Cricetulus griseus: one gene and its partners. The protein of the gene in region 3 purifies or fractionates together with the protein of the main gene of each other region. This does not show direct contact. Links are inferred from orthologs where the notes say so. Each region holds a gene or a part of one and is shown on either strand. Other genes may lie near its edges. The genes, in order: Zranb1, Copa, Hectd1, Urgcp, Iqgap1, Smc4 and Znf622.

Evidence for each region.
Region 1: the proteins of Hectd1 (region 3) and Zranb1 purify together in Homo sapiens (affinity purification with mass spectrometry; 5 studies listed by BioGRID and IntAct, with this or other methods). This does not show direct contact. The link is inferred for Cricetulus griseus from reciprocal best matches to the Homo sapiens genes HECTD1 and ZRANB1.
Region 2: the proteins of Hectd1 (region 3) and Copa purify together in Homo sapiens (affinity purification with mass spectrometry, with the first as the bait; 3 studies listed by BioGRID). This does not show direct contact. The link is inferred for Cricetulus griseus from reciprocal best matches to the Homo sapiens genes HECTD1 and COPA.
Region 4: the proteins of Hectd1 (region 3) and Urgcp purify together in Homo sapiens (affinity purification with mass spectrometry; 4 studies listed by BioGRID and IntAct, with this or other methods). This does not show direct contact. The link is inferred for Cricetulus griseus from reciprocal best matches to the Homo sapiens genes HECTD1 and URGCP.
Region 5: the proteins of Hectd1 (region 3) and Iqgap1 purify together in Homo sapiens (affinity purification with mass spectrometry; 3 studies listed by BioGRID, with this or other methods). This does not show direct contact. The link is inferred for Cricetulus griseus from reciprocal best matches to the Homo sapiens genes HECTD1 and IQGAP1.
Region 6: the proteins of Hectd1 (region 3) and Smc4 purify together in Homo sapiens (affinity purification with western blotting; 3 studies listed by BioGRID, with this or other methods). This does not show direct contact. The link is inferred for Cricetulus griseus from reciprocal best matches to the Homo sapiens genes HECTD1 and SMC4.
Region 7: the proteins of Hectd1 (region 3) and Znf622 purify together in Homo sapiens (affinity purification with mass spectrometry; 4 studies listed by BioGRID, with this or other methods). This does not show direct contact. The link is inferred for Cricetulus griseus from reciprocal best matches to the Homo sapiens genes HECTD1 and ZNF622.

What each region holds. Positions count from the first base shown.
Region 1 is NC_048596.1:67,864,160-67,867,659, forward strand, and holds part of Zranb1 (ubiquitin thioesterase ZRANB1), read right to left. Parts: intron 2,735-3,500; coding exon 2,663-2,734; intron 1,606-2,662; coding exon 1,407-1,605; intron 1-1,406. UniProt on the Homo sapiens protein: Ubiquitin thioesterase, which specifically hydrolyzes 'Lys-29'-linked and 'Lys-33'-linked diubiquitin. Also cleaves 'Lys-63'-linked chains, but with 40-fold less efficiency compared to 'Lys-29'-linked ones.
Region 2 is NC_048598.1:20,771,943-20,775,442, forward strand, and holds part of Copa (coatomer subunit alpha), read right to left. Parts: intron 531-3,500; coding exon 417-530; intron 1-416. UniProt on the Homo sapiens protein: The coatomer is a cytosolic protein complex that binds to dilysine motifs and reversibly associates with Golgi non-clathrin-coated vesicles, which further mediate biosynthetic protein transport from the ER, via the Golgi up to the trans Golgi network.
Region 3 is NC_048598.1:150,459,279-150,463,315, reverse strand, and holds the start of Hectd1 (E3 ubiquitin-protein ligase HECTD1), read right to left. Parts: upstream 2,801-4,037; 5' UTR 2,675-2,800; intron 1,128-2,674; 5' UTR 1,106-1,127; coding exon 966-1,105; intron 1-965. UniProt on the Homo sapiens protein: E3 ubiquitin-protein ligase which accepts ubiquitin from an E2 ubiquitin-conjugating enzyme in the form of a thioester and then directly transfers the ubiquitin to targeted substrates.
Region 4 is NW_023276807.1:99,078,049-99,082,275, reverse strand, and holds the start of Urgcp (up-regulator of cell proliferation), read right to left. Parts: upstream 2,801-4,227; 5' UTR 2,688-2,800; coding exon 2,674-2,687; exon of another isoform or gene 1,953-2,673; intron 1-1,952. UniProt on the Homo sapiens protein: May be involved in cell cycle progression through the regulation of cyclin D1 expression. May participate in the development of hepatocellular carcinoma (HCC) by promoting hepatocellular growth and survival.
Region 5 is NC_048596.1:116,873,817-116,877,316, reverse strand, and holds part of Iqgap1 (ras GTPase-activating-like protein IQGAP1), read right to left. Parts: intron 3,417-3,500; coding exon 3,314-3,416; intron 2,717-3,313; coding exon 2,581-2,716; intron 2,260-2,580; coding exon 2,172-2,259; intron 478-2,171; coding exon 265-477; intron 1-264. UniProt on the Homo sapiens protein: Plays a crucial role in regulating the dynamics and assembly of the actin cytoskeleton.
Region 6 is NW_023276806.1:84,126,028-84,129,527, forward strand, and holds part of Smc4 (structural maintenance of chromosomes protein 4), read right to left. Parts: intron 364-3,500; coding exon 199-363; intron 1-198. UniProt on the Homo sapiens protein: Central component of the condensin complex, a complex required for conversion of interphase chromatin into mitotic-like condense chromosomes.
Region 7 is NC_048595.1:356,781,660-356,785,159, reverse strand, and holds part of Znf622 (zinc finger protein 622), read right to left. Parts: intron 2,351-3,500; coding exon 2,238-2,350; intron 1-2,237. UniProt on the Homo sapiens protein: Pre-60S-associated cytoplasmic factor involved in the cytoplasmic maturation of the 60S subunit.

The DNA of each region.
Region 1 (3,500 bases), on a different chromosome or scaffold from region 3:
ACCTCATGCTGTCTTACTCTAATAAAATGCTTCTACCTGGCTCATTTATGTGCTCTCTTACTACCTCTTCTCACCCTTGTACTAGACTAACAACCTCAAATGATTCAGTCCAGCTCAAATATAAATATAAGATCACTTATGGCCACTTTTAAGAAACAGGCAGAGTAAGTCCCAAAACTACAATTATTAGCAACAAATTAAAGAGTAAAAAATAAAAGCCTCACAATTAGGGAAAGGGGTAAATCAACTACTAAAATTCACAATTTACTTACAGCCTTACTAGATAAGTCAATTACTAGGAAGGAAACATTCCCAAGCTGCCTTGGGTGATGTGTTTGGTTCTGTATGAAGAAAAAAAAATTTTTTTTTTTTTGGTTTATTGAGACAGGGTTTCTCTGTGTAACTTTGGAGCCTATCCTGACACTCACTCTGGAGACCAGGCTGGCCTCGAACTGACAGAGATCCACCTGCCTCTGCCTCCCGAGTGCTGGGATTAAAGGCGTGAGCCACCAATGCCCGGCATGAAGCAAAAATTTTTGAGACAGGGTCTTTATACATAGCTGAAAGGTGGCCTTGAATTCAGTCTTCCTGACACTTCCACTCAAGATACTGGGGTTACAGGTATACCAGACCAGTATGCCCTGATCCAGACTGCTTTTCAAATCAGATTTTGCCACCATAGTCCAGATCTGGCTTTCCAGCTAAGAAGCTAAATTTCATCAGCAGCAAAGAATATATCCATCCTACAGGGCAATCACATTAAACTTACAAGGCAGACCTATAAAGAAAAGCAAGCAAACAAAAAAAAGCTGCCATCTCAAAAACCAAACCAATCATACCACCACACTATAGGCAGACAAACGTATACATATACTCTCCCCGCCCTCGTTAAAAATAAAGATTTTAAATTTTTTTATGTAAGACAGGTTGGAGAGATGGCTCAATACTTTTTTGGTTGCCTGGGGGTTTTTTTGTTTGTTTGTTTTGAGACAGGGTTTTTCTATGTAGCCCTGGATGTCCTGGAACTCACTCTGTAGACCACACTGGCCTCAAACTCACAGAGATCCACCTGCCTCTGCCTCCCAAGTGCTGGATTAAAGGTGTGTGCCACCACTGCCTGGCTGAGATGGTTAAATAGTTAAATATTACTTGCTGCTCTTTCAGAAGACCCAGGTTCAATGCCTAGCACCCACATGACAGCTCAAACTGTCTATAACTTCAGTTCCAAAGGATCCAATAGTCTGGCTTCCTTGGGTACCAGACACATACATGGTGCAGACACAGATGCAAGAAAAATGCTTATACACATAAAAAAATTATGTATGAGCAGAAAAGTAACCCACTATTATAAGGAAATGATCCAGCAAGCTCAGTTCTAAACTGAAACAGGAAAGGTTCCAGCTCACCAATGTGAACAGTCATGCAGGCTGTCATGCAGGGCTTTCCGAAGCACCGAGTCTTTGTCATAAATGCCCCAGGTAGCTTGTAGTACTGAGTCAAGTAAACAATCTCCAGCAGTCCGGTTCCAAAGTGCATAAAGTCGACTGTCCAAACGCGTAGCCAACTCCAAGGACCAGTTTATAATTGGAGATTCCTCCTCTAGCTCTAAAAGGAATTTAAATAATACATTCAGTTTCATGCCTACACAATTATAAAGTATTTAGTGAGCTGAAAATATGATCTATATGAGAATATTTTATATTTTATTTATTTAGTTTTGGGTTTTGGGGATAGAGTTTCTCTCTATAGCCCTGGCTGTCCTCGAACTCACTCTGTAGACCAGGCAGGCCTCAAACTCAGAGATTTACCTGCCTCTGCCTCCCATATGCATATGCCACCACTGCCCAGCTTATATGTAATTTATTAATGTAAACTTTCCAAATATGTGAAACATATTTTGTTTCTGAAATAATTTACTCAACTTCCAAATTCTTTACAATTTTGTTTTCTAAAAATGTGTTTTTTAAAAAAGATTTATTTATTTATTTATCACGTATGCAGTGCATGCCAAAAGAGGGCACCAGATCACATTACAGATGGTTATGAACCACCATGTGGTTGCTGGGAATTGAACTCAGAACCTCTGGAAGATCAGCAGTCAGTGCTCTTAACCCCTGAGCCATCTCTCCAGCCCCCCAAAAATGTTTAAAAGAGAAATACATAATTCTAGAGTAAGTAGCAGAAAATTAAGGTTTTTAAGCTTTAATTAATATATGTATTTGTTCATGCTATCACAGACAAAGGCTGTAGATATCTTTTTTGTTTTGCACTGTTGTTCAGAGTTGTGGGTCAAATCCAGGGCTTTGCATGAGACAACTATGATACTGCTCTCAATGACTCTGCATTTTTAATTTAAAAGAAGGCAAAACAATTACATAGTAAACCACTTCCTACATAATAAAAAATGAAATAGGCTGGAGAGATGGCTTAGAAGTTAAGAGTTAAGGGTACTCTTCCAAAGGTCTTGAGTTCAATTTCCAGCAACCAAATGGTAGTTCACTACCATTTATAAAGAGATCTGGTACCCTCTTCTGATATGCAGGCATACATGCAAGCAGAATACTGTATACATAATAAATAAATCTTTTAAAAAAATAAGATAAAAATACAACAGCTAACTGATTGGATAAAAGATAAATTATATCATTCATCATCCACTTACCTTTTTGAACATCTCTATCAAGTACCTCATCAAATAATTTTTCTTGAACTGTTGGAGGCAAATCTTCAATATCTGCACAGAAAAATCAGGCTTAAAAGTTGTTCTCCTGTTTTAAAACTTAATAAATAAATGCCAGCTTCTAATTAAAAATGTTTCCTTTCTACTGAAGTTGTCAGATATCTATGTTTAATGTCGTATGTAACATGGCTATGCAGAGAAATCCTTTTTTGAGTTTCACTATTAAAATTCTTAGTTAATATAAAAAATAACATGTAAACAAATACTTAAGATTTTTATTTGTGCTTTCTCTTTATATGGGCTGCTTCTGCACAAACCTACTTTTTTCTATTTGTTTGTTGGATTGTTTTTTGTCCCATGCTCCCCCCCCCACTCCCCCCAAACCCCACAGGGTTTCTCTGTGTACCCCAACTGTCCTGAAACTTGCTCTGTAGACCAGTCTGGCCTGGAACTCATAGATCCATTGGCCTCTGCTTCCCAAGTACTGGGATTAAAGGTGTACACTTTATTAAACTTATTAAACTGTTATTTTCAAACATAAGAGAAATTTTCTCATAAAAGTTAATGAACTGTATGCACTTTGACATACAGTGTTTTTGTAACCTTCTTCAAGCATTCTATGTTCAGGTTACTTAATAGAGCACTCTAGTGCAATAAAAAGCATTACCCTTAAAAGCCTGGGGGGGGGAGAGGGGGTCAGTGGTTAAGAGAAGTGGCTGTTCTTGCAGAGGACCCCAGGTTCAATTCCCAGCACCTACAGGGAAACTGATGCCCTCTTCTGACCTCTGAGGGCACCAAGCACACACTTGATGCACATGTA
Region 2 (3,500 bases), about 130 Mb from region 3:
AATTCTATTTGTAGTTTTTTTGTTTGTTTGTTTGTTTGTTTCTACCCCTTTCCACTTCCACATTCTTTAGTTTTAGGGGGAATCCTTGTCAAACTAGGTTTCTTATTTGGGGGATGATTAAATCACCCTATACAATAATAAATACTTGGTCTTTAAAAATATTCATTAAAAATTCATTTTTATTATGTGTATACGCATGTGCACATGTGTTCAAGTGCTGGTGGAGGCCAAAAGAGAGTACCAGATCCCTTGGAGCTGGAGTTACAGATTGGTTATGAGCCCTGGAATGATGTGAGTGCAGGGAATTGAACTCAGGTCCTTTTCAAGAACAGTTAGAACTTTTCACCACTGAGCCATCTCTCTAGCTCCAATACATATATCCTTTAGTCCCCACCCCACCCCAGAAACTAACTTACCATCATGTTCATCAAACTTGTCAATGAGAGTGCACATGCGATAGTCCCATAACTGGATGACCCCATTGTGTAAACTGGTCAGGATCCAGGGTCTTTTGGGATGAAAACTAAGGCCTGGAGAAGAGGGAAAAAAAAGCAGAAAATTATACAATGAGGTAAGGTCCCTGATGTCATCTTTTGTCGAGTCTTATTTTAAAAAGGAACAACTAGATCAACCAGAGGCTATCTATCTATTTCTTCAACATACTTGATAACTTTCCCCCTAATTTTTAAATTATCTCTGTGTAGCTCTGGCTGCCCCAGAACTTCAAGAGTTTCACCTGTCTCTGCTTCCCTGAGTGCTACGATTAAAGGCACATAGTATCATTACCCAGCTGATAGCTAGCTTTTGATTGGACACCAAATACAATAAATCTTACTGTTAGAGATTCCTTTAAACATTGCTGAGCTTTGTTCTGAGGTGTGTCATAGTTGGAATCAGCTCACAGATATTACCTTAAGTTTTGTTACTGTGAGTCTACAGCTGCCTTTATAGTCTAGGTCTAATGTGGAACCATGCTAAGGGAATACCCACCAGAGGGTCTCTATAGGATGCTCAATACTGTCAAGAAATCCTTCTTAATCGATGAGCCATCTCTCTAGCCCCACAGACAATAAAAAATCTTTTTGTTTCTTTCATAGGAGCACAGACTATTTCCAGCTTTGTGTGAGCTCCAGGGACTACTGTTCTGCTTTCTCTTTTCATTCTTCATTTAAAAATTATTATTAAGATTTGTTTTGTGCCGGGCAGTGGTGGCACACGCCTTTAATCCCAGCACTCTAGAGGCAGAGGCAGGCGGATCTCTGTTAGTTCGAGGCCAGCCTGTTCTACAGAGTTAGATCTAGGATAGCTAGGGCTGTTAACACAGAGAAATCCTGTCTCGAAAAACCACACACACACAAAAAAAAAAAAAAAAAAAAAAGGGAAGAAAAGAAAAAAACTTGTTTTTGTATTGTTTTTAATTATGTTTAGGTATGTGTCTGTGTGTGGACATGTACACACAAGTGCAGGTATCTATAAGCCAGATGTGCTGGATCCTCTAGAACTTGAGTTACAGGTGGTTGTGAGGCCCCAGCATGAGTTCTGGGAACTGAATTTGGGTACTCTGGAAGAATACTACTCAGCTACCTCAATTATTATTTTTTTTCTCTTTTTTAAAACAGATAGACCTCACTCTTACATGTAGGCTGGCCTCCAAATCACAATCTTCCCACCTCAGCCTCCCAGTGTAGGATCAGAGGAATGTACAACCACCATAACTATCACTTAATTTTTTAATACATTTTATATGTATTATGTGTATGAGTATTTTGCCTATATGTGTCTATGTACATGACATGCATGCCTGTTGCCTGTGGAGGTCAGAAGAGGGCATCAGATCCTCTGCAACTGGAGTTACAAATGGTTAGGAGCCACCACATAGGTACTGAAAACTGAACCTGGGTCTTCTGCAAGAGCAGCAAGTGTTCCTAACCACTGAGCCATCTCTCCAGTCCCACAACTACCTCTTGGTGGCTCTTTCCTAAATCCTAAAATACTTTTCTCACATGAATGTACCTATCAACACTCTAACAAGGGCCCAGGGAACCAATACAGACCCCAATGCTCTCCCTTTGCTGCTATTTCCCAAGCATATTTTAGCCATCTGTGTTGTTCCAAATGCTGAAAACTTGTTCCTCAGTTAAACCACAGGATTCTTCTTTCTTCCTTCATTACAGGCTGGAATCTCTCTCTAACTAACTGAAACAAACATAGGACTTGCCCAGTTTTATTTCCCTTCCCTCAAGAAATAATCTCCTGGACTCTTTACTAACCACTGTCTGAAACCTTTGTAGTTTGGCTTAGTTGTTTAGCAATTTAAGGCAGGAAAACAAATCTAGTCCTTGTTATTCCATCAGGGTGATAAAAGAACAAACTGGAAGAACAAACTGTTAGCAGTTTGAAGTGTGTCCAGGTTTTTAATGCAGCTACATATAAACACAGGCCTTACTATTTTATGGACATGGAATCATAGGATGCTATTTTGCAAACCTTTCTCACTTAAATATATGACATAAATCTTTTTACACTTCAATTAATGGAAACTCATTCTTTTTTACAACTGTAAGGAACAAAGGCACCATACTTAAAATGTTTAATTACATGTATTTACTATATATGCACATGTGTTTTCATGTGGGCACACATGTATCAGAATGCATGCATGGAAGTCCGAGGAAAACCTATATAAATGTTGGCTATGTATAAAACATTGAAAAAACAAACAAACAAAAACAAAAACAAAACAAAACAAAAAAGAAAACCTAGCAGGTATCAATTCCCTCCTACCATATGGCCTTGGGGACTGAACTTAGGTCATCAGGCTTGGTGGTAAGAACTTTAACCACTGAGTCATCTCACTAGTCTATTGTATTTTAAGCTATTTTGGAGTTGGATATTTACTTTAGTGGGAGAGAGGTGGCTTGCCTAGTGCTGAGTTTAGTCACATACACACAAACACACACAAACTCACAAGTGGAGCATGGTATCACACACCTGTAATCCTGCATCTGGGAGCCTGAGGCCCACATGGGTTATATAGGGAGACATGGTCAAAAAAAAAAAAAGGACAAACAAAACCAAATATAAACAAACAAGAAAACCACCTTATTCTTAGAAAACATTTACATTTCACCTCCAGTTGCTGGCAATCACCACTGCTGAAGCCAGGCAGTAGTGGTGCACACCTTTACTTTCAGGACTCAGAAGGCAGAGGCAGAGGCAGAGAGGCAGAGAGAGGCAGAGAGAGGCAGAGAGAGAGAGAGGCAGAGAGAGAGGCAGAGAGAGGCAGAGAGAGGCAGAGAGGCAGAGAGGCAGAGAGGCAGAGGCAGAGGCAGAGGCAGAGGCAGAGGCAGAGGCAGGAGAGTCTCTGTGAATTAAAGGTCAGCCTGATCTACAGAGTGAGTTCTAGGACAGCCAGGGTCATTATACAGAGAAACCTTGTCTCAAAAACAAAACAAAATAAAAAAAGAACTTTAGGCTAAAGACTTGAAAATGGAATGGCT
Region 3 (4,037 bases):
TAAAATCATACAAGAAGCCGTGCAGTGGTGTTGCATGCCTCTAGTCCCAAGGAGAGGCAGAGGCAGGCGGACCTCTGTGAGTTCAAGGCCAGCCTAGTCTACAGAGTGAGTTCCAGGACAACCTCCAAAGCAATAGAGAAGCCCTGTCTGGAAAAAAAAAAAAAGACACACAGACAGACAGACAGACAGACAGACACAGACACACACACACACACACACACACACACACACACACACACACGAGAGAGAGAGAGAGAGAGAGAGAGAGAGAGAGAGAGAGAGAGGAAGAGAGGGGAGGGAGAGAGAGAGAGAGAGAGAGAGAGAGAGACTGTCCAAATTTGGGGTGTTGAGATGGCTTAGCTGGTAAAGGTACTTACCACAAACCCTGATAACTTAAGTTCCATCCTGGAACCTACATACTGAAATGAGAAATCAATTCCCAAAAACTGTCCTCTCCTTGCTGCTCACCATGGCATGCACACACACAAACACAAATACACTCTATGTAGCAACCAATGTATCTTCTCAAAATAAAATTTACAAACCAGAAATTTATTTTAACAAAAGCACAATGACATATGAAAACCAAAGAAACAGGCAGTTCTAATCTTATTCTCCTAATCAGTCAGTCATATGGTATAGAAACAGCTTTAAAGAGAATATTCTCCTCAATTTATGAGATGTTTCATAACTGACTCAACCAAGCTATGGGTTAATATTAGTACTCCTAATTCACATTCATTCAACAAATATGTATTTACATAATCACAATTATATCATTAGTAGGGTTCCATTTCCTGACACCTTTTATTTCTCAGCAAAGTAAACAGACAACTTCAGAAATGTCTAAAAGGACTTTTTAAAATTCTCTAGTGAAGTTTTCACACAAACCAAACTCAGCAAATGGTTGGAAACAGATGTCACTGGAGCGACCCTAGAGGAAGATGATGAAGGAATGCACTTACGTTTCAAAACACCGATCCACATTGTCAGACATCAAAAGCAGCATGCAGAGCTGTTCCAGGGCTATCAGCTGCATGTCCCTTTCATCTCCCTGTCCCATCTGCAGCCATTCCAGCAACGTATCAGGATCCACATCGGCCATGGTCTTTAAAATGCCTCTTTGCCTAAATTTCAAAAGGAAAAGGATTTTTCAAGTACTCAGAACTGATCGGCCTATGTTTACACTTTTTTCCTTTACATCTTCTAGAACCAAGTTTTGTAAGGTCCCCAAACTAGTATGCATACATACACGGACACGGACACATGGACAGTTGTTCTGATTTCCATATGTGAGCTATAGCATGTACATGCCTGCACACATACAAAAATAAATAAATATACATGATTTTAAAAACTTTCCAAACTTCAAAACTCCTGTATTATTTCAAAAAGTCTACTATATGTAGCATTTTCTAACTTCCCTCTACTTCCAGGGCATAATGTTCAGATACACTAAACACAAAAGAGTTGAACAGAAGAGTATATATAGGCTGATTAGGTTGCTAGTTAACTAGAAACTAGAGCTGTCTTCGTCAAACAGTGAAACAAGCATTGGATCCCACTACTGTTATCACCAATGTCTGTGCCAAAAAGCAAAGAACACCCACAAAAAAGTTCTTTTACCAGAGAACTTCTCCCTGCAACCCCCACCCCCCACCCTCGAAAAACAAAACAAAAACCTGGACTTCCCACACGGGTCACATCCAGTACTTTTAAGGAAATTACACATTTTGATCAATTCTCCTTCAAATTGAATTTCTCCTTTCCCAACAACTTCACAAATTCTTAATTATCAAACTTACTCCGAAATATGTCTAAATACAAACAGTAATCAGATATGAAATCTCCCGGGGAGGGGGGTGGTGGTAAATACTCGTTTGAACTTCTGGCAGTCTTGGCAAGTGTTCTTAAAACTTTTTTTTAATGCTTAAAGTAAATGCAACCAACAGCTTACCAAGTCCCCCCGCCCCGCCCCGCGCGCAAAAAATAAAAATAAAAATAAAAAATAGGCCGCTCTAGTTTCCCATAAGATGGGGCAGTTAGTTTTTATTAAAAAAAAAAAAAATCGAGTAGTAGTCTAGGTAGGTGAGTCATTACAAAAGGTCCGACCGAAGGACGGCCTGGGGTCCCACGCCATCCACCTGCCGCTGTGGGAACCGAGAGGCGGGTCGCGGTGGGCAGCCGTCGGCGGCGCGCGGCGGGGCTGCCCCACCATCCTCGGCCTGCCTGAGGCCGGAGCCGAGCCGCTGACACCCAAGCCGGCTAAGTGAGCTCCCAGCCTGCGGGAGGAGGGCGAAGTTCTGGAGCAGCAGCCAGCCTGAGTGCTCGAGAGGGAGCGGGCGAGCGGCCGGCCGGGCTGCGGGGCTCCCGGAACTCGGAGGCCCAGCGGGACGTCCCCGGTCCCCGGCGGGCGGGCGGCAGAGCCGCATCAAGGACAAGGGGAGCGCAGCCGGAGCTCCGGCGCCGGCGAGCCAAGCCCCGTAGGGCCCGGGGAGGGAAACAAAGGGGCCGAGACCCAGCGGCGGCGTCGGCGGACCGCCGACCTCACCGCGCCTGAGTCCGGCTCCGCGCCCGCCCGCCCGCCGCTGAGCTCGGCCGCCCGGATCCTCGCGCAGGCCCAGCCCGCCGACGGCGCCGAGCGCTCCCGCCTGCCCTCCCCGCAGCCTCTTACCCTGCCTCGCCGTCCCAAACAGCTCCGGTCCAGCTCCGAGCAGGCCGCGGGCAGAGCCAGGCCCGGCCGCGGCCTTCGAGTTCCCAGGAAGCCGCAGGCCGCGCAGGTCGAGCCAGGCAGGCGGCACAGGAAAAGCCGCGTCTCGTCCCTCCCCTTCCTCCGCGGGGACCCGGTGACAAGGAAGCGAGAGGTCCTCCGGAGCGGCGGCAGCCAGCGCGGTCCCGACCCCCGGCACGCGGCTCCTCAGGCACTGCGGTTCAAAGCGAGGCCCGCGCGCAGCTGCCGGCGGCGGCGGGGAGAGGCCGCGTCCATCGCCAGCCGGGCGGGGGCAGGGGAAGGCTCGACCGGGTGCCGGGCGGGGAGGCTGGCGAAGGCCGCGCCGGCGGAGGCGGCGAACGCCTCCCGGCCGCCCTGCCCGCGGCCACCTGGGGCGCTGCGGAGGCCCGGCCGGCGGAGCGGGGCGACGACGGCGCGACGGCCGGGCTCCCTGGGGCGGTCGGCTACGGCTCTCCTTAGGCCGCCGGGCGCCGGCCTCGCCGCGCTGTCAATCGGCGCGCGCCGCCGGCAGCTGGTTCGCGCACGCTCCGCCCGCCTCGCCCGGCGCGGGCCACTCCGGAGTCCGGCGGAACGGAGGCCACCGTGTGGGCTCTCGGGTCACCCCCTCCCCGCGTCCGCCTGAGGACGAGAGCCCTGCGGCTTACCAGGACGCTCCACGGCGAGCCTGGGAGAGCCAGCTCGGCGTTATCGCCTCGGTGCAGATGGGACGCGTGCCTCCTGGCGGCCCCCCTCGGAGTCCCGGGAAGCAGCAGCCCCGAGGGCTCTCAACTCTTTTTCTTGCGGTTTGTGGTCACTAGTGCTTCCATAGCTTTCCCCCTTCGAACTTTTATTTCACGGACATTGGAAAAATAAAGACTGGCCGCTGGGAGTGGCATCCGCCAATGACTGTGACACTAGGGACCTGGAGGCTGGAGGACCTGGAGTTCAAGGTCATCCTTAGCTACATAATGAGGTCATGACTTGTCTAGGCTACTCTCGTGGCGGCAGTGGTGAAGGGGGGTGGGGTAAAGGAGGAGGAAGAAGAGGAGAAAATGCACCTGCCTCTAGGGGCAGACATGGAGATCCATTATGATGCCATTAGCAAACATACCTCTTATATCTAGAGCCCCTTGGTTTTCGAGATTACTAAGATATGCCTAACACTCCTTACTGAACGCTCGTTTAATTCATCCTTTGAACAAAAAATAGCAATGAAAATAGACTATCTATGCAAAGACCTAGGCTACTCTTTTTCAACCACAGCTGCGCAAGAGATTCACCCGCAAAAGTTTGTTTTGTTTTTTAGAAGTTTTAGATCCACATCAAA
Region 4 (4,227 bases), on a different chromosome or scaffold from region 3:
AGGCTGCCCAGCAGACAGAAGAGCAGGCTGAGCAAGAAGAAGGGTGGTGGAGGTAGAGAAGGAAAGCAAAGAAGGAAGGCTGAGCAAAGAAGGCAGGGGAAGCCGGATTAAAAGCTCATGCCTTTATTCCCCCTCGGGAGGCAGAGGCAGGTGGATCTCTGTGAGTTAGAGGCCAGCCTGGTCTCCAGAGGGAGTGCCAGGATAGGCTCCAAAGCTACACAGAGAAACCCTGTCCTGAAAAACCAAAAAAAAAAAAAAAAAAAAAAAAAAAAAAGGCAGGGAAAAAACAGTAGGCTCTGGATACCAGCAGAGTTCCAGAGAACTGTCTTTAGGGGCAATGATATCAAAACCTAGGCCTAAGTGGATTTAAGCACCATGAACCCTAATTTCTGGAGCCTACATATCATAACCTTGTGGGAATAAGGGTGCCAACACTTAAAGCTTGCCCAGGGCTCTAACATGAGAAGGTACTACCTGCTGCTGCTCCCTCTGTCATAACTGCTGTCATTTGCTCTGACCAAACAGAGAGAAATCAAAGTTGCCAAAGACTAGCCCTTGAAGAGATTCTAGTCATTGCCTATGATTCCTATTCAAGTAGAGCAAAAGAACCCTAGCCAGCTGATTAGTAATAGGAGTGAGAACAGTCCAGAAATGGGCAAGATGGTAGCAGATGGGTGAGATCTGTGTCGTGTCTCCTGTCCCTCTCCCCCTCTACACTGCTGTTACAAAGATTCTACAGAGCTGTGATGATGCTGACTGGAAATGCCTTTCAGTGGCAGGCAAAGAGCCCATGGTCCCCACATATTTAGAGACTGCCCCCTCCATGGCTAGCTTCTTCCATCTCTGCCATGTATTGCTCTGCATTTGCTGTCTAAAACATCTAATGTGGTAAGGAGATTTAACGGTAACAGTTGGAGGCAGGGAAATCTCTGTAAGCTTGGGGCCCCAGACCAGCCAAGGCTATATTAGCCAGACCCCAGCTTACAAACAAAAACATTACAGGCAGCTAGCTGAGTGACAGGTCAGGACTCCCAGGAGTCAACCTCTCACCTACCAGAGATGCCTATTAAAGAGGATGCTTGGATGTGAAATCTACAGATATGAACTGCAGTCAATAAGTGTATGCATATCAAACCAAGCACAGTTTTTAAGTCTATTAAAAGTTTTGTGACCTCGGTTTTATTAACAGACTCCCCTTAGAAAATTACAAATTAATATACACCCTGACTTCACTGGGTCACTCACAACAACCAGAACGACAAACATTAAATACCACCCACTATAAAGACAGACCGTGGTTCAGGCATTACTGGCCCACAGAATTATTGATCCAACAGGAGGTCCTCCTCTGACTCATGTCTACAAAGCAGTGTGCTTAGACACGAAATGTGCTAAGACTTCTTACAAGCCTAATGGAAGCCCCCCAAAGGCTCAAACATTTTCATGGTGCTTCCAAGAGGCCCTGTCTTACACTTTCCTAACAGGCAGCGCAAGAATGAAGAGGGACCTTGAACCTCTGGGTCCATCAACCTGGCCTTTCCAGGATGGGTCACTGTTTATTCTCCTTATGAGCTCAAAGTGCTAGATACTCTGCTGGCAATGAAAAGGCCGGCTCCCAGAAGTGCCCGCTGGTCCTCAAGCCTAGAAAGGCATTAGGCAGGTGGAAATTGCCCATGATCTGGCTGGCGCCTGCAGGCCTGGATCAAGTTCAGATTGCTTCATTCACCTTCATTCAGACCACTGTACCCAGCCAAATCACTCCACAACACAGTGCAGACCTTCTTTGTAGGAGGTTTAACTTCTACATGCTCCACCCCAAAAGTCCTCCTGCACCTGTAAGCCCTCTGAACTGCAAAGATACACTACTTGAATTACTACTACCAGTACTGCTGGGTCTAAGATCCTCTGAATGATGGGGTAGAGTCAAAAAAGATGTTTACCAACTAAAGCTATGACCTTGAGTCCCATTTTCCTTTACGTGACATAAAAGCATTAGTCTAATTATGTCATTTCAGTTCTCATAACTAGTAAAAGGGCTGAGATAGTTTTTCATCAAATAAATACAAACTGTAGGTGTTACTGTAATTTCCTAAGAAAGAACATTTTAAAAGAAAAAGCACTAGAAAAGAGGTAATACCAGAACAAGTGTAGCCATCCCACAGAAGCTCCCACCCCCACTCAAGCACAAGCAGGGCCTTAGATCCCGGATCCGCTTTCCGACTCTGGACAAGGGTCCAGCTGAGTCCCCCATACCCTGACACTGACAGTGAACCCAAGCATCAACTTCAAACGCAATCAAGTGCAAACGCCAGAAACACACGTCAGGCCTGCTAAGCCTCCCTGCGGCCTCAGCCGAGACCTAGGACCCCGAGTCCCCTCCCTCAGCCTCCCGGCTGCGCTGATGCAGGCTCCATCTCTCGGACTCCCTGGCCCTGACAGACCGCTGTCCTGACTGGTGCCGACCGCGATCCTGCAGGGAGACCCTGGCCCGGTCCACGACCGCCCAAGGTCGGCGGGGGAGGCCGCGGGTCGCGGACAGGCACCTGACGGGACAGGGTCACCTGGGGTCCGGCCGAGGCTGAGGCAGAGGGGGCGCCGGGTCGCGGACACGCACCGCTCGGCCCGCCCCTCGCCCAAGAGGCGCCCCCTGCGCAGCCGGAGCGCCTCACTCACCCGGGCGACGCCATGAGCGCAGCGGCCTGGGCGCTCCCGCCTCCTCCGCTGCTTGCGCGGCTGCCGCTGGGCGCCGGGGAGGGGCCTGCAGGCTGCCCCCGCCCGCTCCGCTGGGGCGTCCGGCGCCGTGGGCCGAGCTCCGGGTGGAGGGCAGGCCGGCGCCTGGGGCGAGGGAGAAGACGCTCAGGGCCCGAAGGACTTGCGACAGCAGCCTCTAGCCCGGCTCGCTGCCCGGAGGCCGGGATTCACCTGCGGAGCCAGACCTGCCCCGGGGCCACTGACTGGCTGCCAGACGGCGAGAGGGACGTCACCCCCAACCTCCGCAATCTGATGTTAATTTCTGTAAGAAAAGCACTTTCTCTAGCTCTCGGGTATAAAGTGTTATTACTGTTATTAAGGAAAACAATGAGCTGGGCGTTGGTGACACACACCTTTAATCCCAGCACTAGAGAGGCAGAGGCAGGCGGATCTCTGTGAGTTCAAGGCCAGCCTGGTCCCCAGAGCGAGTGCCAGAATAGGCTCCAAAGCTACACAGAGAAACCCTGTCTCGAAAAACCAAAAAAAAAATAAAAAAAAAGGAAAACAATGTCTTTCCTGCTACTAGTTGGCAGTGGTGTTTTTGTGTACTGGCTGGCTTCTCAACCGGTTACCCCTTTTAACTTTACTTAGGACGAGGGTGACTAGTAAGCTTTATATGTTATTACTTAAAAGTATAGAGTTTGGAACTAGTGTAGTGGGATTTCCTACAAGCTATGAATACTTGGACACCTAAATTTTTGAGCTTTGGTTCCAGTCCCTGCCAAATTAGTTCCCAAACTAGTATCTTCTAAGAGAAAATACCTAATAAAAAGCTTTGGACCATGCAGTGCAAACCACTGCTGATGGCATTTTTGTGTTATCACATTAAGCTTATTTATTAAATTTTTTTTCAAAGCCGGGCATTGGTGGCGCACGCCTTTAATCCCAGCACTCGGGAAGCAGAGGTAGGTGGATCACTGTGAGTTTGAGATCAGCCTGGTCTACAAGAGATAGTTCCAGGACAGCCTCCAAAGCCACAGAGAAACCCTGTCTCAAAAAACCAAAAAAAAAAAAAAAAAAAAAAAAATCATACAATATATTTTGGTCATATTTTTTCCTCCCAGATCCTCCCCACCTTCCTAATTTTCTCTCTCTCTTTGCTTTTATTGAGACAGGTTCTCACCATGTAACACCGACCTGGCAAGAACTCCATGTGTAGAGCAGGATGGCCTTGAATTCACCAGAGTTCTGTCTGCTTGTTTCTACCTCCAGACTGCTGAGATTAAAAGTGTGCACCACCATGTGGTACAGGACCCAAAATTAATATTCTTTTCACCACTAAAAATATAAAACACTAAAGAGATTAACCCTTTGTTCAGATGCGAGAATATCTAGGCTGGAAACTGGCTCCACCAATTTATTAGCTATAGTTGCCCAAGTAGAGGGAACCTCTCAAGGGCCACGGTTCCTCATTCCCTTCTTCTTTATGAGGGTTAACTAAATGAATATTCAATTGTTACAGGGCCTCTTTCCATC
Region 5 (3,500 bases), on a different chromosome or scaffold from region 3:
TTAGAACCCTGGTTTGGGTGATTCACACAAACTTTACCAACTTTATATATTCCATAGCAATTATGAAAAAGCCCTGAAGGATTCTTTAAAGGCAATGAAAAACTCAAGACACTGGAAGCTCTACTGAAGTCCTGATGTCAGAGTCAGACTGTACTATTCTGCATACGAGAAGCTATGCTGTGGCCTGAGTGGCTACTGTCTGTTCATGAGCTCCTGATGCGGCTGTAAACAAGGCCGGGCCACCACTGTTCCCACATGCAGTACCTTGGCAATGTCGTTGATGAGTTCCTGGTATTTGTTCTTTGGGTCCACGGTCCCAAGCTCTGTTAGCTTCTTTAGGCCAGTCTGAATTTTCTCTTTCTTCTCCTGAAGGCTGAGGTTGTTATCCTCCTTCACAGGTTTTGTCTTTTTCATCTTGTCGGGGGTTTTGGCGTCCCGGATAGCCCGTCTCTGCATGGCCCTCTGATGTTCGGCTTCCTACAGATGAAAAGAAAAATACTTTTTGGTAAGTTCACCACAGGAGCCCTAAACCTGGACTCACAGCATATCTGCAATTGAATACAGAGTTCTCCAAGTCTGCTGTAAATGTCTTCTCTCTACCAGACAAGGAACAGCATCAAAGTGAGATACCTCATTTCACCTAGCAAAGTACAACTGTGAATCCAGATGCTGTGCTTTCTTGATACTAGGTGTAGCCAGAAAACTAGATTCTATGAGCTAAGAAATCCTTTACCTTTTCCCAGCTTAATTTAGGATGTTGAAGTCAAAATGTGGCTCATAACTACACAAATTAACACCAATAGCAGTGCCCAGTGAAATCTTGCTAATGCTCCTGACACACTGCCTGAGCTGGAGCAGGCTCCTGCTGCCCTCTGCTCCCAAGCACACTGCAAATACTGTCATATCAAGGAACCTTCCTTAGACTCTGCTGTCTTTCCTTACCCTTTCCCTTACTTTTTAAGAAAAAACAACCAAGACAAGGTCTTGCCAGATAGCCCAGGCTGGCCTTGAACTTGGTAATCTTCCTGCCTCAACTGAGCAGAGATTGAGTACTGCCAAGCCCAACTGATCATTCTGTAACAACTTCATCGTCTTTTCTGACTTTGGCATCCACGGCTATCATCCATGGCTGTCATCACCATCTCCTCACCCCAGTCTGAGCTCTAGAGTTTTAGATAATTCCACCCTCAGCTTTGCTTTTCTCATAACTACCCCGCCCATCTTCACCCCAGATCTCACTGTGTTCTTCCCTCCTTGGTCCCATTATTCCTGTGGGCTCTCTTCCCCAGAATTTGCTCTTTTGTTTTCCATCACACCCAGATCCTCCCAGTCTTTAAGTGTGGCTTGGGTTCTGTTTCTTTTGTTGTGACTTCCTGATACACTGTTCCTCACTGGCCTCCACCTCAAAAACTGTGGGGTTTTTTGTTGTTGTTGTTGTGTTTCTGTTTATTTTGAGATAGAGTCTCACTGGCTGGCCTGGAACTAGCTATGTTGACCAGGCAGGCCTTGAAATCACAGATATCTTTGGGATCAAAGGCATGCCCACCATAGCCAGAAACTTCTGGAATCTTTTTTGACTTTTGTTTTATGTGCATTGGTGTTCTGCCTGCATATATTCCTGTGTGAGGGTGTCAGATCTTGGAGTTACAGACAGTTGTGAACTGCCATGTGGGTGCTGGGAACTGAACCGAGTCCTCTGGAAGAATAATCAGTGCTCTTAACCACTAAGCCATGTCTCCAGTTCCCTGGCATTTTTATAATCAATACTATAGCTAATTTCTAATGGTCTTATGGTTTCAGATGCATGTATCATAATTTTTCTAAATGGACCTTAAAGTTTGGAGCCACACCCTGTACTTTTATAGACACAACCAAGGTACTTCATATAATTACAACTATAAGACAGTCATTAAATTACTACATAGACAACATGTTCTGTCCCAGATTAAATTCTCATCTATCCTGTATTCTCTATCTCATGTTTCATCCTAAGAACACCTTCTGGATTTAGGAGCCACCAACTTTCTCAGTCAGATGAGCCCTGTTTACTACTGTTCCATAGCCAGATCCATGCTCACCCAAGGGTCCAATCCCTTCCCTGTGCCCCTATCCCCACCCAGGGATGCACCTATCATAGAAAAGCTTATCCAGTGTGAAACCTTCATGTGTACCTGTTCACTGGTGGCTGGTGTCTCCAGGATTTCAGTCAAGGTGTCTCCTGGCTGGAACCGGATGACATCCACAATTAAACGTTTTGTGCTGCAATGAGATGGGAATGGGTTTGAACATGGCTGTGTGTTCTACCTCCTTGTCATAGGATCTGAGCAGTATCTGAAGCATCGTCACCCCACAGCGCCTTGCTACAGCACCCAGAGGGACAGTTACTGGCACAAGGAGCAAGGGAACTATAGCAGGTGGTACAGGGGAGGAGTTCCAAGACTGTAATTGTATGTTAGCAAAGTAAGTCCTGTGCCAAGCACGATGCAGGGTGATGAGCACTGTGACGGGCAAGAGAGGCCAGGATGGTTGTTCCAGGTGAACTGGATTCTAAGCCGCTTCCTTCTCCCTTTCAATACTCACTTCAGTAAGATGGCCCGAGCATCCATCTCTGCATTCTCGTCACCAGGCACATCAAACTTGTTGGTCAACGTGAGAGATACTTCTGTCTTAGCCAGTGCCTCCTTGTTGGGGTCATTTAAATTGCCACAACTTTCCCCTGCAGTTTTTGAAGTGTAGAAAGAGTCAATGTAATAAAAAAACACTTTGGAGGGAAAATAATTCAAATAAATACAATGCAGGTCAGTATGACTCTTGATAAACCAATGCCCTTCAGTGTGATGAGCAGTTGTTACTGAGAAGTAAAGGAAACTGAGGCAAATGGTTGAGGAGAAGGGTCCATAACACAGTAACTTCATAAAAGTGTGAAAAACTCGTTTCACTGGGCACGGTGGTGCACACCTCTAATCCCAGCCTTCAGGAGGCCAAGAGAGGTAGATCTTTGGGAGTGTGAAGCCAGCCTGGTCTTATCGAGTTCCAAGCTAGACAGGACTACAAAGTGAGACCCTGTCTCAAAAAATTGTCAACAATCTAACTATAAGACTTACTTTCTGATTATCTGTATTACTTTTGTCTCTGTATTTAAAAGTATCTGCTATTTCACTGGACTCAGGTGCTCATAAGGTGGGGCCTATATTAGTTTTGTTCCCCACTGTGTATCTAGACTCTGATATGGCGCAAGATCAGAGAGACAATGATACTAAATCCCCTGATGCGGTCCCCTCTCAGCTTTTCAGAGGCTCATTAAGAACATTACCTATCAGGGACTCGATGGTGGGCACCTCGCCAAGGTCATCCAGCAGCTCGTGGATGGGGTCGTTGTGCTCTGGAGCAATGGCGTCCTGATGGTCCAACAGGAGCTGTAAAGAGATCCAGTGACTGACCTGCATCCCTCCATCTCCACCCGCAAGGCCAACAGGTATCTTCACAAAAGGGGCTGAACA
Region 6 (3,500 bases), on a different chromosome or scaffold from region 3:
AAAGTCAAATCGAAACATAAACACCAAGTAAAAGATTTCATCCAAAGACTAATATAAAAATGGAGGGTTCAGAAAACAAAAAAAAAAAACCCAAACATTTTTATGTGAATTATAAAAAGTATTCAACTCAGTAAATTCAATTGATCCATAAATAAGACATTCTCATTGGCAACTAATGTCTACTAAAGATTCATTTACCTTTTCTCCTCTGTTTTCATTTAATAGTTCAACTCTCCGACATAAGACTTTAATAGGTTCATTTAGCCGTCCACAGCCAATTATATCTTCTAAATACTCAAGCATACCCTCATCATGTTCAGTCTGGCCTTTTGGTTTCATCATAGCAATCTGTTCGACTTCACCCTTTAAGAGAGTTACATTCATCCTCATTGTATTCAGTAGCTAAATCTCTTCAGCAAGAATAGGGTAATCCCAACTAAACGATATTCATCAAGTAGGTTTTAGATGTTTTATTCAAGGGGTCTGAAACCCCTTTATATTATTCTTATAAAATTACTGACAACACATATCCACATACAGACACAAAGATACCCTATGTTGTGGTTTCAAGTAAACAAATTTTTCTGTTAAGCAAAATTTGACAGGGTACATTACCAATTATTACTAACAATTTGCTAATGGTCTCTCATTCTAAAATAAGTTTTCAGAGTTCCTTCTAGTTAAACTGTATAAGGAACCTTGCCCAAATGCTTCTAGTTTTACCCTTTATGTAGTTATCTAATTTCTCTATAAACCTAGTGAGTTTGACAAGTGACCCACTTCAGAAAAGATGACTAAAACTTAACAAGCAGTTGTAAACTGGATGGTAGAAATTAATCTCAGGTTCTCTGCAACAGCAGTAACCACCAAAACCACCAAGGATCCTTTCTTTTATCCAGAAAAAAAAAAAATCATAGCACCTTTAAGTTTGAACTTAAAGGACTCTTTCACTCCAAGTTTACAAATCATATAGTAACAGAACAGGGACCACTAAAAGATTACCTGGAGCTGGTAACATTTCATTCACCCTCATAGTTATTGCTACTTTCTAGGTTTTTTTTTTTTTTTTTTTTAGCTAGAGTCTCTCTATGTAGGCCTAGAGTTCAGAGATCAATCAGTCTGCCTCTGCCTCCTGAGAGCTGAGAATAAAGCCATGTGTCCAAACAAAGTTTTGTGGTTATTTATTTATTTTTGAGACAGGGTTTCTCTGTGTAGACCAGGCTGGCCTTAAATTCAGAGATCTCTTGCCTCTGCCTTCTGAGAAGTGGGATTAAAGGCACATGCCTCGGCTACTACCACTCAGCTTTGAACAAAATTTTAACGCACTCCCAGCCTCAATTATTCTGAGAGTGGTGGGGTTGAGTATACAGCTCAGTGGTAGAGTGCTTGCAGAAGGCCTTGCATTTGATCCCTAGCAACAGAAGAGGGAAAAATAAATTAGAAAGGAGCTTGAGTTCTAACTTAATGAAGGCTCTGCTGGGTAGCAAACAAGGATACTGTGATTCAGTTAAACCATTCTTTGATGATCTTATTTACAGGTACCTAGAGCTTAAAAATCTAAGAGAAAGCTGGGTATGGTAGCACACATCTGGAATCCCAGCACTTGCGAAGTGAAATAAGTGCTTTTATTTTCATTAAAATAAATACAGGGGGTGGTGGTGGAAAGATGGCTCAGCAGTTAATAGTACCGACTACTCTTGCAAAGAACCAGGCTCAGTTCCCAGCACCAACATGGTGGCTCACAGCATTCCCTAACCCTAGTTGAAGTTCTGATGCCCTCTCCTGACTACCTTGGCCCCAAGCACATATACAGTAGATGTGTATACAAGTAGGCATTATTAGATATCAAATCCAGAGCCTCATGTGTGCTAGCAATCACTACCACAGATAATATTCCAACCCCCTTGGGCTTTCTAATTTTTGTTTTGCCTAAATAATTTTCATTTTCTGAACTATAACTTCTACCTTCCTCAAGTACAGTTTACCCTAATTTGTTCTACAAGAGGACAACCAAATCCCCAAGGTTAATATCTGTCCAAAGTACACAAGTAAAAAAGAGAATGCTTTTGTGGTTAGTTTTCATATCTATTCTGGGTGCTTAGGGGCAGCCTTCTAGCATGTTTTCCACAGTTGAGCCACTGGATCAGACAACTAGTCAAAAACTTCTTTCAAAATGTAGTCAGGTTTGCTTTTTAGATTTTTTTCCTTATTTCTAGATAAAAAGACGACAACAAATAGTTTATATGCCACGCCTTCTATAAAAGTATATTAAAAAACATGATCAACAAGGTTAATCCACTCTCCAGAGTAGAAAAGTTATAAAAATGTTTTATTTCATAATATGAAGACAAAAAATATACATAAATTTTGACAAAATCCAATTTCTGTTTTTTAAAGGAATTTACAAAATCACTTCCAATACACCAATCTATTAATGCAACTTTGAAGGGTAACTGAAGCATAGGATTGTCACTTCTAACTTGAGTGGAGCAAAAGCATTAACTAATGGAGCAAACCAATAAAATCTAATTAGTTAAGTTTTAGTCACCTATGAAATAATACAGACTAATAAAATCGTTTTTGTTTGGACCATTAATCTTTTTTTTTTTTTTTTTAAGATTTTATTTGTTTATTTGTATACAACATTCTGGTTCCATGTATATCTGCACACCAGAAGAGGGCACCAGATCTTATGACGGATGGTTGTGAGCCACCATGTGGTTGCTGGGAATTGAACTCAGGATCTCTGGAAGAGCAGTCGGTGCTCTTAACTGCTGAGCCATCTCTCCAGCCCCTGGACCATTAATCTTAAAACATCACAAAAATCTCTCCAGTAAGATAGAAAACCAATGGCTAATCAATCAACTGTGACTACTTTTGAAATATACATGGCCATTTATACCTGTCCTCAAGGGTAAGAAATAGGACTTAACCATCTGAATGATCATTGAAATTTTAAATTGATCCGTATACTAGAAATGCTTACTTAAAAAACACAAATCCATAAACGCTGTAAGTTTTTAAAATAAATTTCTAAAATTCAGTGCATCTTAATCTTAAAAAAATTGCTTTTCCTACATTTATATTACATGTGATAAAATCAGTATCACTGTCCAGTCTGTACTGATATTATGATACTGTCTTCAATTTTCTAGCCACCCTAAGCACAGGTGGTAGTTTTTAAGACAAATGTTAGTGATTAGGATAATGAAATAGAAGCTATGATCTTACTTCATGTGCTTTAAATCTCTTATTAGTATAAGCGTCAAAGATTCTGATAAAAAGCTAAGAAAATCTCACAGAAACTACTTCCACTTTCCCTGGAATTTAAAAGGATTCTATGAGTTTTATCTAGCCCAATTTCTCCCTTTTCTTCCTAAAAGGCAAGTTGCTAAAAAGTTCTTATCTAAGTTCAATCAAAAATGTAAAAACTTTAAGAGCACAGAAAGGGTTCAGATAATGAAGACAAATTGAAGGAGCATCTTCAGTGCATCAGAAGC
Region 7 (3,500 bases), on a different chromosome or scaffold from region 3:
ATTTCTCATTCTCTAAAAGCTATGAGAGGTTTTTATGGGTTTTTTTTGTTGTTGTTATTGTTTGTTTTGTTTTTTGATTATATTCACCCTTTTACCATTGTGAATTTTTTTATTAATTAATTAGTTTTTATTTGTTTTACATCCTGACTGCGGTTTCCCCTCCCTCCTCTTCTATTCCTTCCCCTACCTCACCTCAACCCCCCCACCCCATCCATTCCTCCTCTACCTCTCTGGTCAGAAAGGGACAGGCCTCCCATGGGCATCAACAAAGCATGAAGACAGTACCCAGTACAGGGAATAGGTTCCCTCAAAAGCCAGTTCAAGCACCAGGGAAAGACAGGCCCTGATCTCACTGCTAGGGACCCACAAGCAGACCAAGCTACACAACTCTCACATACATAAAGAGGGCCTAGGTTGGTCCCAGGCATACTCCCTTAGCTGTCAGTCCAGAGGGTCTAGAGTCTGTGAGCTCCTACAAGTCCTGACCACTGTGTATTGTACAGACTACAATACATTATAATAAAATTTCCTTACCATCTAAGAAGAATTTTATCCTCAAGGTATTCTCTCTGCTCTAGGCATTAAGGTTATTATTCTGAGATAGTGACAGCTATCTGTACTACACAGTGATACCACATGTGTTTAGCTGCTTAGGTACAGCAAAATAGGAAGCAAGACTTTCAACACATACAATGCTTCAGACATCTTCATTGGCAAGGAGGGTGCCACTACTGCTGTACTATTACTGCAAAACTCCCTACGCAGTGTAGGAAGTCGAGAAAGGCTTGGTATGAGGTCCTGGATAAGTTGCTTAAACATGTTAGTTTCATATGCCAGATGAAGACAAGAGAATCTAATTCACATGGCTGTTGTAAAGCCTGAATGTGCTATGTACTCAGTAAACACCATGTATCTGTTCATATTTTACTATCATCTCCATATTCCCTTCTCTTTCATTTCAAACCATGCCCTCTGTAGCTCCTCCATTCTTACCAGTTAACTGCCACATTTCTTCCTTTCTATACAATAAACAACAGTGGATGCTTTTCATAGTCACGACTCCTTCATCCTCTCATTCCTGGGATAAATTCCTACAATGAGTCTTATTATTTTTCCAAGGGAGGAGGCAGAATTCATCCTCCAAGTCTCTTCTCCAACTACTAGAGATAGGCAACCCAAGCACTGTTATTCAAATATCAACATGTCAAACTATTTTGGAAGCCTGCTACAGTCTGACTATGAGATACTTCCACTATGCTCAGGTTGATCCCCACATAAGAAACTGGAAACTTGAGGTGGTAGGACCCACTTGACAGTAGAGCCCTGGAGCCAGCTCCCTGGAGGCTATTTTATCCCTACTCCTTTTGCCTCACTATCTGCCATGAATGAGGCAAACAGTCACACCACATGGTCCCACAGCCCTTATATTTTTACCCAAACACATTTGGCTAGATGATCATGAACTGAATCTTCTGAAACCATGAACCAAGCTAAATCCTTCATTTAGGGTTTTTTGATCACAGCTATGCAAAGGCAACTAATAGAAAGCCTGGGCTATCAAAGAACACAGGTACCAGAGGAATCATGTCAAAGAGAGGGAGGAATATCACGGAAAGCTAAGAGAAAGCCTAGGGAGATGGCTTAGTTGGTTAAGTACTTGTCATGTAAGCATCAGGACCTGAATTCAGACAGCAAGAACCTAGGTAAAAAGCTGGGGATATTGCCACACAGCTGCGACTCCAGAGCTGGAGGGGTGGATCCCTAGAACTCACTGGCCAGTCTAGCCAAATTGGTGAGCTATAGGTTCAGTGAAAAACTGCCAAATAAGGAGAACAACTGAAGAAAGATGCCTAACATTGACCTCTGACCTCTACTTGCACATGTATACACAGATAGACGAGACACAAGGAATAAGACATACATACATATACACAGAAGGGAGGGAGAGATCATGGGAACTATCAGTCTACATTTAAAAAAAAAAAAAATTTAAGGAAATACCTAGTAAAAATGTTCTAAAGCTGAAATGAAACAAGAAAAAACAACAACCCAGTTTTAATGACAAAGCCAACTTAGAGCTAAGTAGTTACTTTTAAAGTTCACAAGTACTTGAGAACACAAAAAACACTTTAAGGGTCATGATTTTTTTTCCCTCGGTTCAGCAGGTAATTGAAGAAGACATGTTTCTTCCACAACACACCGGCATTAAGCTATTTCTTTCTGACAAATACACTTACCAGAAGGAAGTATCAGCTCCATGGTTTCATCATCGCATTCCAAAGTCTTATCCGAGGACAACTGCTCAATTTCATTAGGGTCCTGCCCCTCCTTGTAATCTGGGTAGCTACTCCTGTAACAGGGAAATAGTCCTAATGAACAGACTTGAATGAACAGACATCTGCACTTACAAATGGAGCAAAACTACCACCAGCTTCAGGGAATGCCCACTGAAAGGACTAAGGGGTAAAACTACCATTAGAATTTCTCTGCAACAAATGTGACCAGATGACCCTTAAGAGGATGTTTGTCCTCTCTCTAGAAAGGTTACCAAATGCAGAAGCCATCAACACAGAGCTGGACATGAAGTTATAGACCAATTAATCACAGCAGAAACAAGTTCTAGAAGACTGCAGCCCTACAGAATTCTGTGACAACAGAAAGACACGTCTACTTGTCACCCATGTTAGTTTTAGATACACGGGGCTTTCAAACACCGAACTTTTTCAAATGCAGACAGTCTGACTAAAGCACTGAATTTTTAACATCTTTTACTTCATTTACGTAGCCACAAGGATATACCTATTAATTACCACACTGGACAGTGTAGTTCTAGAAGAATCTGTTTCTAAATATATCCAAAATTTCATATTTAAATGGACCTAAGAAAATAACTAGAAAGTGATAGGGAGATGGCTCAGTGGGTAAAGTACCTGCCATGCAATTAGAAGTTCCATTTCTAGCACCCACAAAACAGCGAAGCACAGCAATGCCTGCCTATGCCAACAACCCTAGGGAGGTGGGAATAAGAGTATCTATGGAGCTTCCTGGCCAGCCTTCTAGCTGAATGGTGGGCTCCAGGTCCCAGCAAGACCCTGTCACAAAAAATAAGGTGGAGCATGATCAAGAAAGACATCCAACAACTCTGGTCTCCACATGGCATGTGCATATGTGCATTTATTTACCACATGCAACACACACACACACAAAACAATAAACTAATAAAAAAAGTAACTGAAATACACATTGAAATAGTAACAGCTAGACAACCCAATAGAAAATAGATAAAAGACTAAATCAGACACAAAAATACTTCCAAGTAGCTAATTAATATGTAAATGGTTCACAATTACAATGGTCATAATAAAACACAATGTAAAACTATTATATATTCAGCCATATGCCTGAAAAAGAAAACTTACTCTCAATAATGGTGGTATTACAGAGAACACTTTGGTAAACAATTCAACAATATCTTCTAAAATTGCACGTGTGCATGTATC